Linked DNA regions of Canis lupus familiaris. The protein of the gene in region 1 interacts with the protein of each later gene in a biochemical or structural test. Links are inferred from orthologs where the notes say so. Each region holds a gene or a part of one and is shown in the gene's direction. Other genes may lie near its edges. The genes, in order: IQGAP1 and BRAF.

Region 1 (8,107 bases):
GGATTCTTTCTCTCCTTCTCCCTCTGCCCTTCCCCCTCCACTCTCTCTCTCTCTCTCTCTCTCTTTCTCTCAGATAAATAAATACATCTTTAAAAAAAATTCCCTCAAAATTCCCTCAAATAGCTTTCAACATAGTAGGGAAGATAGACATGCAAGTGAGTAATTTTAGGGCAACTTACTTAGAAGGTATCAAAGACATATGAAGTACAGTCACAGAAAAAGAAAGGAGTGATGACAGCTTGGAGGTTTGTGTAAGAACCTTCACTGGATAGATAAGGTGAGGATAAGGCAGGATTCCCCAAAGAGGAACAATTGTTTCCTAATCGTAGAGCAAGTCTAGGCAAGAGAAAGTTGTGTGCTAGCAAGATACAAGAGCTTTAGGTCCCAGGAATTATCTTAACATAATTATAGATAAGATTCTTTCTGTGAGGGCTTGAGAACCGGCATTGAAGCCACTGCCCCAGGAGAAAGCTGCAGGTCAAATAGTTCAAAATGAGAAAAAGTTTTTATTTACTTTCTTAGTAGAACAAGGAAAATTAATTAAAGCCTAATGGAAGAAAGTATTTAAATAGTGTTCTAACCTTTATCATCTTTATAGTGTGAATGTTAGTAAATGTTTTTTTAAATATTTACATATTTATGTAGTAAGTATGCTTTAAAGTAAAAGCATAATTGACTAGATGCTTTTGTAGATAGATAATCTGAGATTCTGCATCACATACCTAGAGAAAGCCTGGTTGTTAACCTGTGTTGATTGTATTTTCTGTCCCCACTCCTATAAAATCTTCACCAAGACAGAGATCATTTGTTTTGTTCATAGCTGTATTTGCAGCACAAAGCAGGTGCTCAGTAAATGCTGTTGAAGGAATGGATAGTTAGTTGGCTAAGGATCACATGGAGGAGTAGCCATCACCTTGGTGTGGTGATGAGTTAGCAGAATTGCAGGTATAATCGTTGGGAAGGAGTGAGTAGTCTCTTAGGAGTCTACACTGAGTCTACAAATCCATAGAGATTTAAAATTTTTCCTTTAACACCTTGTATTCATTTTTTTTTTTTTTACTAATGAAAACATTAAAACATTTAAAAATTTTAAGTGCTGCTATACCCCAAATACTTTGATTTTTGGTATGTTGTTATTGATTTGTTTTGCTACTTTGGTGATAAAAATCAGATGTTCATCCCTGAATGGAGCATGGAGGGAGAATTCTTGTTTTCTAAAAATAGGGAAACAAAATCATACGGTAAGGATCGCTTCCCAGTGGCTATTATTTTTGAAGTCAGAAAATACCTTATTCTGACTGCCAGCCTAATTCCTTATTTATTTTACAACATAAAAAGTGCTTTCACATACGTAATTTTGTTTAATCTTAACAACACTGTGAAGAAGGTGTCTTTATTACTTTCAGATGAAGGAGCATCTAGGTTTTCATTGCCAGATGTTAAAGACCTTGTGTGACTTCAAGTGACTAGAGGTAGAGAGGATTGAGGGTATTAATCGCCTCTACCAATCCCTGCGCTCAGACCACCCTCGCTATCTGGGCACTCACTGTCCTAGTAGAGTGTGTTCAGGAGACAGCTGGATAATGAAGGGATTCAGACTGATGCTGTTAAGAAGGAATGAAAGTTCCTTAATCTGGGGTAGACTGAGGGAAAGAGGGATTGATGTATCCAGGCGTCAACACCAGGGTGAAAACTTTCACAGATTGCTGTGGGAGAAACCTTCTCCTGTTCAGTAGTTTTATCTAGACAACAGCTTGGCATTTAGAGGGAATTTAGACATGTGTTGGTTTTGACTGGTGCCTCATATTGCTAGCCCCATAGTGCTAAGGTGTCTGTATCTGAAAGCTTTTCAGTAGGTCTGAGGCATGCTCCAGGAATCTGTTAACTGACAAACAGTCCAGTTGGGGACCCCTGAACTTGAGCAGTTTAAGGTTCTCTTCCAATTCCAAGATCTTGTGCTTCTGGGATATTCCAGAACAAAGGCCATCTGAGCTATATTTCGCTCTTCTGAAATTGAGGTTGGTTTAGGGGAAGGAAAGTGATGTAAGCTGTGATGTTCACAAAACGTCTTCATAAGCTGCGGCCTTTCCCCCTCCTCAGCGTCTTCTGCATTAGCAAATGTGGACCTGGCTTTGGAGCAGGGTGTGGCACCTGCCTTGTTCCGGGCACTGCAGTCACCAGCCCTGGGCCTTCGAGGGCTGCAGCAGCAAAACGGGGACTGGTACCTCAAGCAGCTCCTGAGTGACAGACAGCACAAGAGACAGGTGAGGATCGTGGGTCAGGCTGGCAGGCATTCACATACAGCTGTTTGAATCTTGTGTTCTTGCTGAAACATATTTGTGGGATCTCTTTTCCCTATAGTTACAGTATAACCTATAGTTTTTAGCATAACTTTCTGCATCTTAATGTAGGTTTTTATAATATCCTCAGGTAAAATACAGATTGTCTTTAGCTTTTGTTTGCTTTTATAGCTGTAAACCTTTTTTTTTTAAGATTTTATTTATTCATGAGAGACACAAGCAGAGGGAGAAGCAGGCTTCCTGCAGGGAGCCTGATGCAGGTGGGACTCGATCTCAGGGCCCTGATCCCAGGGCCCCGGGATCACGCCTGAGCCAAAGGCAGACACTCAACCACTGAGCCACCCAGACGTCCCTGTAAACCCTCTTAAACATAAATACTACCTGCCCTCCAAACCTGACTACCCCTTCACTTGAAGCATCCTTTTTAACCCTCCAATGAAAAGCCCTGGGGGAAAACCTGAATCTCTCCTACATTCTTACTTCAGGAATTTCCTACATAAAAACACACATCACTAGTTTCCTCTGGCCAGCACTGGGAAAGTACTTAACTAATGTGCAGTAAGAGCAGACTGTGTAATTGTACTTAGTGGGGCTGGTAGAACAAACACAAATGGCTTTCTTTTTTGTCTGAACAAGGCCCATCAAGTGCACATTTTGCAGATTCCCAGTATCTATGGCCAAAGCAAACAGTATTAATGTGCTAATGAGGCTGTAAACATCTTATGTCAGTATTTTTTTTTAAGATTTTATTTATTTATTCATATTTTTTTATTTTTTTTATTTTTTTATTTTTTTTATATTTTTTTTATTTATTCATATTTATTCACACAGCTAGAGAGAGAGGCAGAGACACAGGCAGAGGGAGAAGCAGGCTCCATGCAGGGAGCCCGACGTGGGACTCGATCCCGGGTCTCCAGGCTCACGCCCCGGGCTGCAGGCGGCGCTAAACCGCTGCGCCACCGGGGCTGCCCTTACGTCAGTATTTTGATGCTTCTTACAAACTTTTTTTTTTTATGTGCTAGTATCTGGAAAGTCCTCTACCCCAGATTTGGTGAGGGCATTGGTTCCCACTAGGACTACCACTTTCTCTGATGCAGCCTGACACATCCACTTAGGGCCGAACTTTGTCCCTGTGACTGCTATTGAGATACAACTGTAAGGCCTGGAGGCATAGCCATGAGAATCTTTACATAAATGTTCTTTGCTTTTCTCAGGGTGGTCAGGCTGATCCCCTGCAGAAGGAGGAGCTCCAGTCTGGAGTGGATGCTGCAAACATTACTGCCCAACAGTATCAAAGAAGTAAGAGTCCTCTCCCTGAGATACTGTGTGGGGTTAATGTCGCTAGGGCATCTGAGGTCAGATCCTGTCACTTCTCACCCCCACCCCAAGCCTGCTAGCCACAATCGACCAGCAGGTGCCACTAGAGGTGCCCTACCCTAGTTTTAGAGTAGAACTGGAGTCAGTGTGGGCTTACTCTGGCTAGCAAGCACTTGGTCATTGGAGCAGAGTCTTAGGGCTTGATTGGTAAGATCTGGGTGGTGGCAGAGAGAGAAGGATGTTCCTAACCTGAGCAGGGAGGAAAGGAGGTGTGAGCAGAGGTGCCAAAGGTCAAAGATGTTTTGAAGCAACAGCGGTTAGAATACAATATTTGTAGATATTCGGGGTTGAGCTGTGTAAGATAAACCCTTGGAAAGATTGTGGCAGCTTAAGAAGCTGGTACTTGATTCGCCAGGCTACATGGGATGGGAGAGATGCTTTAGAAAGAGTCGCAGGATGAATTGGAGTGGAAAATAGCTTTATTGGGATATAGTTGGCATAGCCTGCAGTTCATCTTCATACAAAGAGGGAGGCTGTTTTTTTTAAAGATGAAAGTTCCACTTCAAACATCATGGCTTATAGTTTATCTGCAGAATAGAACTTTCTTCTGTGAAAACTGAATCTCTTTCCTCTCAGGGCTTCCCAAGCCAGCTGCATTTCTGACCTGTGTTCTGTGCAGGGTTGGCAGCTGTGGCGGCAATCAATGCTGCTATCCAGAAGGGTGTTGCTGAGAAGACTGTTCTGGAGCTCATGAATCCTGAGGCCCAGCTGCCCCAGGTGTATCCCTTTGCTGCTGATCTTTATCAGAAAGAGCTGGCTACCCTGCAGCAACAGAGTCCTGAAGTAAGTCAGCTGAACCTCTCCTGTTTGTGACCAAAATGGGGCAGAAGTGAACTCAACACCTACTTCTTGGTGTGCTTGGCAGAGCCTTTTTTAAAAAAACAAACAAACAAAAAAACAGAAACTTAGACTTCTTATGGCTTAACTGAAGTCCTGACCTCACTTGGTATCCCGGAATGTCCTCATCTTTTTTTTCCTCTCCTTTCTGTGCAGCATAGCCTCACCCATCCTGAGCTATCTGTTGCCGTGGAGATGTTGTCATCTGTGGCCCTAATCAACAGGGCACTGGAGTCAGGGGACATGAACACAGTGTGGAAACAGTTGAGCAGTTCTGTGACAGGCCTTACCAATATCGAAGAAGAAAACTGTCAGAGGTGGGTCCCCAGAGTGGTAGATGGAATCCATTGGACAGCTTTTACTCTGTTGGGTGTCCACACTCCTGTTTTCAGGCATTGTGACTTTAGTATGATGCTTTTTTCCCCCCTATTCTGATTCATTTTATTCTTTATTATGCTGGAGGATTTATAATAAATTACATATATCATGACATTCCACCCCTCAATATGTAAGTATGCTTATCTAAAACAGTGAGGATATTTATTAGGTAGCCAAAATAGTACAATCTCATAGTACAAACCCTGGCAAAATCAATAGTTCTTCTTTAATATGTGCAGACCCTAGTCCATTTTCATACTTCTTCACTAGTTTCGAAACTGTCCTTTTCACCTGATTTCTTCAAACCAGGGTCCAGTGCAGGACTATGTGTTACACCTGGCTATTGTACCCTTTAGGTATCTCTTAATCTAGCATTGTTCCTTTCTTCATGATATTGACTTGTTAAAGAGATAGGACCAGTTGTTCTAAAATGTTCCATCTTCTGGTTCTGGTTGCTTCCTGAGATTTGGCTTATTTTTGTAAATTAGAAATTAGGTGTAAAGGCTTGTCAAGATCAAGTCAGCATTTTTGGTGTTGTGTATTTCATATTTTCTCATAACTAGAGGCATATGAAATTGACTTGTGTCACCATTAAAGATACTAAGATTGATTCTTGAATCCGGGAGAAAGCTTATCCCTCTTATGTGTATTTATGTTTTTCCCTTAGCATAAACTTTTTTTGCACCTTTGTACCATCAAAGTGTCCAGTTCCCCATTACCCATACATAATATCTAAAAAAAAAAAATTTTTTTTTATTTATGATAGTCACACAGAGAGAGAGAGAGAGAGAGAGAGAGAGGCAGAGACATAGGCAGAGGGAGAAGCAGGCTCCATGTACTGGGAGCCCGACGTGGGATTCGATCCCGGGTCTCCAGGATCATGCCCTGGGCCAAAGGCAGGCGCTAAACCGCTGCGCCACCCAGGGATCCCCATACCTAATATTTTTAACCCAAGTTGATAATCCTTGTCTAAATCAATACTTTGCATGAATGAATGACTGAATTTCAATTGCATTTATATTCCAGAAAAATTGGAGGTAATAATAAAATACTTAATGCTGTTTGAAAACAACAAAAAAGAAAAAGACAAAAAAAAAAAAATCAATACTTTTCAGTAAGATTTGCTTAATGATTTTTTTTTTAAAGATTTTATTGTATTTCATTATCTTCTTTGTTGGGGGAATGGGGTAGGTATCTTGATGAACTGATGAAACTGAAAACTCAGGCACATGCAGAAAATAATGAATTTATTACATGGAATGACATCCAAGCTTGTGTGGACCATGTAAATCTGGTGGTGCAGGAGGAACATGAGAGTGAGTAATCTACTTAACCATCCCCTCAGATAGTGAAACTGTTAAAGGTACTGTGATTCCATAAACTGGCTCTAAACATTACTCCCAGAAAGATTCTTGAAAATTTGTGTGTGTGTGTGTGTGTCACAAAAAGCTGAGGTTGGATATTGTTTTTGAAACATCAGGCAACTGCTACAATTAGATATGTATGTAATAAGGACTAACATTTTCAGGAGATAACTTGAACACGATCTGTTATTTTTAAATGTTTTATAACAAGTAGTTATAACACCACCTGGATTTAGGTCATCTTGCATGGGTATAGTGCTCAGTCTTCCATAAGACTCCTCCCATAAGACTCCTCTCATTGGAGACACTAACCACAAGCTTTAAGGAGTTCCCAGGTCACTACACTTCTGAACAATTGGCTATAAATTCAGAATTTCCTTCAACACTCCCCTCAGATTCAATAATTTGCTAGAGTGACTTAAAGAACTCAGGAAATGCTATATTTATGAAGAATATAGTTTTATTAGAAAGGATACAAATCAGGACTGGCCAAAAGAGAAGACCTAGAGGGTGATCCCAAATATAGTGAGGTCCCAAAGACCAAGCTTATGTGTCCTCAGGATGTGTACCCCAACCAGCTCTCCTGAGATTTGGGTCACCAGAGATTTTAAAGAGGCTTCATTACCTGTGAGGAATTGATTGTTGGCCATGTAATTGAACTCCGTTTCCTATCTACCTCTTCTCCCTGGAGATAGGTAGGGTTGGCTGATATCACAATATCATGTTGCTCAAACCCCCAGAATTCTGATCATATGCTTGGTCTTTCCAGCATGATCAGACCCCATCCTGAGACTACCCAGGGGCCCATCTGGGTGGCATATATTCAGGTGTGGTCCTAGAAGCCATGCCTGAATAATCGGATAATAAACAGATAATCAAATTATTTAGGAAATTCTAATGGGGGTTAGAGGCTCCTTCCCAAGAACTGGGGTCAAAAGTTAGCCACATCTTTATTATACCACAGTCTTTACAAAAATAGCACAGCTGCCTGGGATACTTGGGGAGTGACATTTCTAGTTTTAGTTTGTATTTCCTGTGAGAAATATCCATTGATTTAGCAAGAAGAGCCTTGCCTCAGGGTGGGGAGCCCTGGGGTTGGATCTGCTGTTGTCCAGTTGTTTGAAGTGGGATCTCGAAGAAGAAATTTCTAAGCCTAATCTTTTCTTATATAAAAATGTTTAATCAGGGATCCCTGGGTGGCGCAGCGGTTTGGCGCCTGCCTTTGGCCCAGGGCGCGATCCTGGAGACCCGGGATCGAATCCCACATCGGGCTCCCGGTGCATGGAGCCTGCTTCTCCCTCTGCCTGTGTCTCTGCCTCTCTCTCTCTCTGTGACTATCATAAATTAAATTAAAAAAAAAAAAATTAAAAAAAAAAGTTTAATCAGGTGACTTTTTATGATCCCTTAAACTCTTTTTTGTGAATAAAAAGAGTTTTTTTTTGTTTAAAGATTTTATTTATTTATGATAATCACAGAGAGAGAGAGAGAGAGGCAGAGACACAGGCAGAGGGAGAAGCAGGCTCCATGCACCGGGAGCCCGATGTGGGATTCGATCCCGGGTCTCTAGGATCGCGCCCTGGGCCAAAGGCAGGCGCCAAACTGCTGCGCCACCCAGGGATCCCTAAAAAGTGGTTTTGATTACACATTGTGATGTACTTGAAAGCTATACTATTAAAACCAGTTTCATCAAAATTCTCTTTATTTTTCCATTAGGACAATTAAAAATAAAACCAAATACTTGAGGTTTCAATGGAAATATGTATACTAGGGTGTTTATTTTAAATGAAACAAACACTAAAGTTAAAAAAAAATTTAAACGCTGCTTAATATTATAGGTGGCAAATTATAATT
Region 2 (8,107 bases), on another chromosome or scaffold:
GCTAAATATTGGATAATACCTTGAAAGAAGCAGAGAGAACAGATTTTACTAGATGATTGCCCAGCTTTCAGATTAAATGATTCTCTAGGTGGATACTTTTTTTTTTTTGTTTTTCAAGGAAAGACACTCCTAAGATAAACCTATCGAGAGGATATATTCATTTGGTTTATAGCATGTTTTCTCTCTCTTTTTTTTTTTTAGATTTTATTTATTTATTCAGGAAAGACAGACAGAGACATAGGCAGAGGGAGAAGCAGGCTCCATGCAGAGAGCCCGACGTGTGACTTGATCCCGGGACTCTGGGGTCATGCCTTGGGACCAAGGCAGGTGCCAAACCGCTGAGCCACCCAGGCATCCCTATAGCATGTTTTTTCTTACTGCTACTTTTATAAATCTATAAGGTTCTCTTTAACATCTTAGAAAAGTTAAGAAAGGGGTCCTATTTAATTTCCTTAAATAATGGGTATACTTCTGTATCATATGAGTTAATTTCTTATTGTTCCCTTCCTTCCATACCCTCAGTTATGTGTCTTTTGGCATCTTTGATTATAACTCATTGTTGCTTAGAAATTATGTTTTAGTGTCAGCCTATGTAGAATTATATAGAGTAGTAATTACTCTGGAACATTATATCATGTAGAGATATGGGGTATAATACTCATTCCATTTTTCCATCTGGGGAATTTGAGTACCTTTTTTTTTTTTTTTCAAACCATCCATTATATAGACCTGGATTTCTGCCTTTTCACTGGTTTTGTGGCAGAGATGTTACAGAAAGAGAATTATTACATGAGATAGAAGTTAAGAAAGCAGCTTGTAAACAATAAAAGATAAGATTACACAAGGATAAGGTGGTGCTATTTCAAGTTGCAGCTGTATACAACTTTAGCCTATAATAAATTTATGCTATCTACCTTCCAGTAGGGTTCTATCACTAGCTCAGTAATTGTACTCATATCTTGCTAATTATCTAGTACTTTCCTGGTGAGAAATTTTTTCTCCTCACCCTCTAGTTGATTTCTGTCTACCTTATTCTTGATATATTTCTTTGTATCAGATTTGTTGAAAAGATTGATACCATCAAGAACACCTTTATCTTCCCTTATAACTTCATCATGCCTCCACATATTCATATCTACCACCTATTTGTTGTTTTTAATTTCAAAGGAGACAGAATCTTTTGTCAAAGACTAACACCTATTATGTGCACTAAGTACCAGGTCTCAGACCAAAGCACCAAGCTCCACCACTGAACAGCATCACCATTTGTTACCCTTCCTCTCTAGTGGAGACAAGGTCTCCCTATCTTGAAAAAGCTTGTGGTTGAGGCTCCTGTTCTCCATCTGTATCATTCTGTGTCATTGCAGAAAAATTTTTAAGCAAATGACACCTATAACAGACATCACATTTTCTTCCAATGTAAGAGAGACCATGTGATGTAGTGGGACAAGAGTGTGGTAAATACTATGGAGGAAATAAACATAGAAGTAAGAGTAATTGGAGGAGAAGGGGTTCCTTTGTATAAATCATTTGAAATGAAAATTTTATCTGAGAAGAAAGCTTCAAAATCTTGATCTCTGGGAGAATGAGGAAGTATAAATGAAGAAGAGAAAGCATAAATAAAGTTTAATTGTTATGAATCTTCAATTTTTAACAGTGTTTATTACATAATTTTGATTATATACTATTTGGACTTTGAAAGTGTCACTTTAAAGCAAAATTTACTTCCTAATTAATGGTCATTGTCAAATTTTAGAAGTCTCATATATCTATTCTTTCCAGTTTTAAATGAAGAAAAATAGCTTTGACTAGGATATTATATGCATTTCGTTGTAGTTGATTCAACAGACATGTTGAACACTTACCACATGCCAGGCTCTGTGCTAGGCACTGGAGATTGAAACAGAAATAAAGGAGGCACAGCCCTTACCCTCAGTGAACCCAACTAAACCAGTTTTTAGGGCTCACATAGGTAATTTAAACTTACCATTGACTATAAGATAGATGCACTGTGGATATTATGTAGCAGGTTTGCTCCTCACTATTTTTGTTTAGAAATTTTATTTTATTCTGCATTATTTTCTCTTATATGCTATTTTAAACTAATCAACAATGGAGTTATTCACTGTGGCCATTATTAACTAATTTTAAGACTAAATGATTAACATGTGTGATAAAGCTCCGTATTTTTAAGAAGTTATTTTAAGAATGTATAATACTACCTTTAAAATTAACAATCAGGGGCAGCCCGGATGGCTCAGCGGTTTAGCGCCGCCTTCAACCCGGGGCCTGATCCTGGGGGCCTGGGATCGAGTCCCATGTCGGGCTCCCTGCATGGAGCCTGCTTCTCCCTCGGCTTGTGACTCTGCCTCTCTCTCTCTGTCTCTCATGAATAAATAAATAAAAATCTTTTAAAAAATTTTTAAAATTATCAATCAGATTTTATATTCTAGTGGAGTTTACATTCTGAAAAGGGAACCATAGGCACAGGAAAAAGAATACATGAATCAAGCTATTACAGTAATTACGATATAACTCAACAGTGAAAGATTACTTTTGGTTGAGTTAGTCATAGCAAAGCTTTATTCAGAAGATAGAATGTATATTCAATCTTAAAGGATAGGTATGAATAGGTGGAGAATAGAATGAAAGTTAATTTGGGGATGGGTTTGGAAGGGAAGTATTGATCACAGGTGGGATTAAATATCAGGGTGTATTTAAAGGACATGGATAAATAGGTTTGACTGGAATGAAAGGTTTGTATTGGTAAATAGTAAAGTATAAAGCAAAGTCTTTTAATAGAATACAAGATTTGGGCTCTACCATAATAGTAATATGTTTCTATAATCCTAAATTCATTTACAGTTTAAGATTTCTTACATAAAGAGGTTATCACAATGTACAGTTTGCAATTGTGTCATGATTTTGAATAAGTCTTTATTTACATCCCTAAATATGTTCTATAGATTTTGAGGCCAGAGTCTTTACCCCTACTCAGGTTGAAATGATGTTTTGTTTTTCAGTTACTTACACGCCAAGTCAATCATCCACAGAGACCTCAAGAGTAATAGTATCCTTCCTGAAATTTGTCTGCGAAGTTTGAAAACATCCTGACTTTTTCTTCTGCATTTTGTCTTCACATTATGTAAAAACAGTTTTCATGCTAAGTTCAAAAAATGTAAAGAGAATTAATAAATGGGTTTGCATGAGAGCATAGTATAAAGCAGGGTGCTGCAACATGCTTTTGGTTTCTGAACATTTGAGTGTTATAAAAAAAAAATCCACCAAGTCTTTATAATAGTAGGACTCTTTTATGATTGTGTGCTTACATTCTGTCAACACCCATAAAACAGGTAGCTATCTACCCATTTCTTTCAGTGCTCTGATGCTACTCTGCAGTAGTTGAAATGTAACTGAAGGTTCTAACTTGCATAACAAGGAGGTGAGAAAAAACAAAATTTTTCTTCTTCCATAAACCCAGATCAAGATCCTAGCCGTCAACCAACTTCATTCCAATGAAGAACCTTTGTAGCTTTCCTAAATGCTAAAGCATATCTGGGTCCATGTTACTAAAATCTAACGGGAACATTTCAGGGTTTCCCATAAACATAGGTTGGAAAGCATCTCACCTCATCCCATCATATTTCAAGCCCCCAAAATCTTAGAAGCAGGTCACATATGCCAAATAGAACCATATTTTTAAAAACATATTCATTAACTTTAAGAGGAAATATGAAGTACTATACTTTTTAAAGAAATATCAATTTTACCAAAAAAATCATATTATAGAATTACAGAAATTAGATCTCTTACCTAACATTTTTGTAATGCTTGCTTTGCTAGGAAAATGAGATCTATTGTTTTCCTTTACTTACTACACCTCAGATATTTTTCTTCATGAAGACCTCACAGTAAAAATAGGTGATTTTGGTCTAGCCACAGTGAAATCTCGATGGAGTGGGTCCCATCAGTTTGAACAGTTGTCTGGATCCATTTTGTGGATGGTAAGAATTGAGGCCATTTCTCCATTAATTAAATTTTTGGACCCTGAGGTGCTACTGAGTGACTAGAAAATCTTTGAAGGTTTCGACTAGTATTTTCATAATTCCCAGTATTCACAAAAGTCAATGTTGATCTTATTTTTTATGTAAATAAAATTTAACTTTTTTCTTTATCCTTAAAAAGAGTATTATGAAATCAGTTTCAGTATACTTCAAACAAAAAAATAGTATTTTATAAACAACTGTTGAAATTTTATCCAGAATTGTCTCTTTAAAATATTTTGTGTTCAAAATGTTCTGTGTGCCCGGTTTCAAAAAGAAAAAAACAAGTGTGCAGTTTCAGCAGGTACGATCTGCAGTATTTCTTAAGGTTTTACTAAAAGAACTACTCCTTTTAAGAGAGGCTGTTTCATGATGTTATTTAAGCCTAAATTGGAAAGTTACTTCCTTTAGACTAGAAAGAACCCATAATTATGGGGCAGCTGGGAAAGAAAAGACATAAAAAAAAAAAAAAGAATTTTAACATAGCCATGTGCTGCCCTGCATAGCTCTTTGTTGCTTTTTCTTTATTCCTATTTCTGCTTTGTGTAAAAGAAGGGAATGAAAACTTCTGTGCCATTACTTTCAGCAGGCTGTGAAAAGGGCAGGTATAGGAATCATCCTCTAAGCTAGCAGTTCTCAAAAGGGGCCCTAATACCCTTTTGGAAGTCCCCAAGGTCATCCCTGTATGAGACCAGATGTTTCTTTATAGTCTTGAACCAGAACAACACATCACAACAGATCGAATGCCAGAACCAAAATATGTGACTATAGCTGGCTGCTCTTAAACCAGTCAAAAAGAATTGCAGTACTCTTCTCACTGAACTTTTTTTTGGATTTGAAAATACACTTTTCATTAAAAATGGGTAATCTTTGTTAACATCTAATGGCTATTACTTATGAAATTACTAAATATTTTAACAGTTTCCCAGTTATGTTTAAATATGAGAAATACCCATAGATATAATCCACATAAAAGTTCCTTGGGGTCTTCAGTAATTTTCAAGACTAAAAGAGTTTTGAGATCAAAAAGTTTGAGAACCGCTGCTCTCAGCTGAATGCCGGATGTCCCTAACCAGTAGTGCAATTTGAAGCTTTAAATAATTGAATCTGCACTAAGGCTTTGGGACACTCTGCTGGAAACAGAGAAGCTGCAGGGGCTCTTGAAGCCATGTTTGCATAAATTCCCTGAACTATCTGTAAGAGCCTCCAAGAGGGGAATTCCAGGATAGATGTGAATTAGTCAAATAAACTTAGGGTTAAATTCAGCTATGCTTTCTTATAAAAATAACTGGAGTAAAGACAAGTGGTAAGGTGGAAGGGGTACAATGGACCTAGGAGATCTGTACTCTATAGTCCTCTGTTTAACTCTCAACCTGCACATTTCCTAACCTCCATGTCTCTCCATCTTTAATGTTGGTCGGACTAGTGGATTTCTAACACCTTTTTTGTTCCTAAGATTCAGTAATTAGAGCTAACTAGGTTTGTTTCTTTAATATATTTTAATTGTTTTAATAAATCATTTTATAAATAGGAGGCTTATTAGTCATTGTAATTGGGATCTCATGCACCTTTAAGGCACACACCTTGCTATAAGATAGCAGTGGATTCTAGGATGCAGCAGGCTAGCACACACTAAGTGTGAGACTGTAAAACCTCAAATTAAAAAGAAACAATACATGTTTTAAAGGTGTATCTATTTTAACTAGTGTGGGGGAGATGCTCAGTTAAACTCCAGGTTTGTCCTTTTTCTAAAACCTAGATTATTATACCCAAAGTTTTATATTCTAATTTATTTTTTGTTGATACATAGGTAGATTGGTTCATCCTTTATTCTATCAAGCTGAGCTTTCATATAAGAGATTAGCTAGTAGTACACTTACGTGTTGAAAAAATCCTTTTGGGTTGATAATTGCCTTCAGAAACAAATGCGGAGCATCTGTGTACTAGTAGAGAAGAGTTTGGTCAGAACTAAGATTATGTAATTCTCTGAATTCTTCTCAACCTTGTTCTATTTATCTTAGAGGGGAAAGAAACCTTTGTGAAAATTTTTACAGATTAAATCACTAAATTAGTTGAGGATCAATCATGCATTTCTTGTCCAAATAAATTTCATCAAGCCATCTCCAACAACAGTAGAGGTAAAACTAAGTTTTAAAAAGATGGTTAGTTCCTCAACTGATTTATTATTCTGTCCCTCGCAAAATTGTATTCTGGCTTTTAAAATTATGCCTATATCATAACCAGCCTCTCAGTATTCTAGCTTGTTCATCACATCACAGTTGTATGTGGTTTATTTTGTACTGTATTACTAAAAGCAGCTAGCAATAAAATGTTTGACAAAAAAAGTAAGCAGACCCCATCTTCTCCTTCACCTCCCATCCTTCATCAGGATCTCCCATACGTCTTCTGTCAGTGGTTCTCAACCTTAATTGGACATTAAAATCATCTGGGGAGCTGTAAAAACCAGCAATGTTTGGATCCCATCCCCAGATTCTGTTGTTATATTATTGGCCTGGTATGTAGTCTGGACATTGAGAGGTTAAAAAGTCTACACAGTTGATTGTGATTTGCAAGTAAGGCTTAGTGCCATTGCCTGCTTTTTGAGATAGACCAGTGACCAGGAATCCTGTCCCAGGTCCTCCAGCCATTTATGCAGTTAGTTCAGGTTTTGGTATCAAAATAATGCTTTCATGGAACTTTTATTTACACTCTGCAGTGTCTTTAGAAACAATTCTTCCAAATGAAACAGTACAGAAGATGCAAGGGAAAGAACTCTTTTAAGCGTATATTTAACCAACCATTTATTGTATTTCATGAACACAGCCAATTAAGAAATTAAGTGGTAGAGTACAATGAGTAAAATGTGTAAAAAATGTAGCAAATATGATTTGGTCTGTATCTTTGCCCAGGAAGCAAACAGCCAGCATTCTTTATGCCATCTTCTAAATTGACCTCCTATCTCTTGGTTCTGTTAATAAAGCACCCATGGCATATTGATAATGCTTTTGGAGGCAGGAAAGGGGTTTGAGTTTGTCAGTGTCGATGTTTTACCAGTATTGTCTAAGGTGCCCTGAGGCGAGAATCATTGTACTAATGGGAAAACTTAAACTCTAAGGCAATTATTAGCGTAGTGGTTATGCTACTTCCAAACATTTTAGGACTGCAGGTCTTTTATTTCTTTACTGAATCAGGAATGGAAATTGGAATTGATTCTTGATAGAGCTAATCCTGGGAAGGATTCAAATAGCAATGGCAGTATTTTGTACAGAAAGAGGATGGCTGATAAAATTATAAAATCTTCATAATACATGTGGAATCTCAGGTAATACTGCCTCTTTCAGGGCTTACTGAGCATTTTTTTTTCTTATTAATCAGTTTTATTTCTTTGCCCCTTAATAAGAGAATTGATTGCATATTAATTAGATGGATTATTTAATGACGAAAGCATTGTTCTGGGAATTGTAATCATTTGCTTTTCAGTCTTTTTAGTTGAAGAATAAACAAGAATATTTTTCTTTTTGTGTTCTAATAGGCACCAGAAGTGATCCGAATGCAAGACAAAAACCCATATAGCTTCCAGTCAGATGTATACGCATTTGGGATTGTTCTATATGAATTGATGACAGGGCAGTTACCTTATTCAAACATCAACAACAGGGACCAGGTAAATATTTACCATCTCTTGGGGTTTATTTTACTGTTTGTATAAAGACTCCAGTTTGTTGTAGAAAAGTATTGAGTCCAGAGTAGGCATAAAGGATGGATATCTTAATCTTTGTTACCAGTTTTGGAAACCTTTGGTGGACTGTTGGCAGTGATAGCAGCATGTAAGGCCTTTCCTTGAAATGTCAGTGTTGTCACGGAATGCAGTTGCTGATGGTCTGACTAGAAACCAGAGCTGCCACAGTGGAGAGCGCCCATGTTTCCTGACCACACACAACCAGAAGGAGCTCTGCTGCCATGGCATCTGAGCTTTTGTGCCTTTTATTCTGTCATAGGTTGTGCTGAGCAGGCACTCAGCTATGTGCTTCTTTATATCCATTTCTTTGGAAAGTATTAGTAAG

Evidence for each region.
Region 2: the proteins of IQGAP1 (region 1) and BRAF form a complex in vitro, tested with the Homo sapiens proteins (2 studies listed by BioGRID and IntAct). The link is inferred for Canis lupus familiaris from reciprocal best matches to the Homo sapiens genes IQGAP1 and BRAF.

What each region holds. Positions count from the first base shown.
Region 1 is NC_049224.1:54,213,296-54,221,402, reverse strand, and holds part of IQGAP1 (ras GTPase-activating-like protein IQGAP1), read left to right. Parts: intron 1-2,100; coding exon 2,101-2,264; intron 2,265-3,514; coding exon 3,515-3,599; intron 3,600-4,296; coding exon 4,297-4,460; intron 4,461-4,670; coding exon 4,671-4,831; intron 4,832-6,083; coding exon 6,084-6,208; intron 6,209-8,107. UniProt on the Homo sapiens protein: Plays a crucial role in regulating the dynamics and assembly of the actin cytoskeleton.
Region 2 is NC_049237.1:8,077,225-8,085,331, forward strand, and holds part of BRAF (serine/threonine-protein kinase B-raf), read left to right. Parts: intron 1-3,023; coding exon 3,024-3,070; intron 3,071-3,885; coding exon 3,886-4,004; intron 4,005-7,234; coding exon of another isoform or gene 7,235-7,348; exon of another isoform or gene 7,349-7,365; intron 7,366-7,575; coding exon 7,576-7,707; intron 7,708-8,107. UniProt on the Homo sapiens protein: Protein kinase involved in the transduction of mitogenic signals from the cell membrane to the nucleus. Phosphorylates MAP2K1, and thereby activates the MAP kinase signal transduction pathway. Phosphorylates PFKFB2.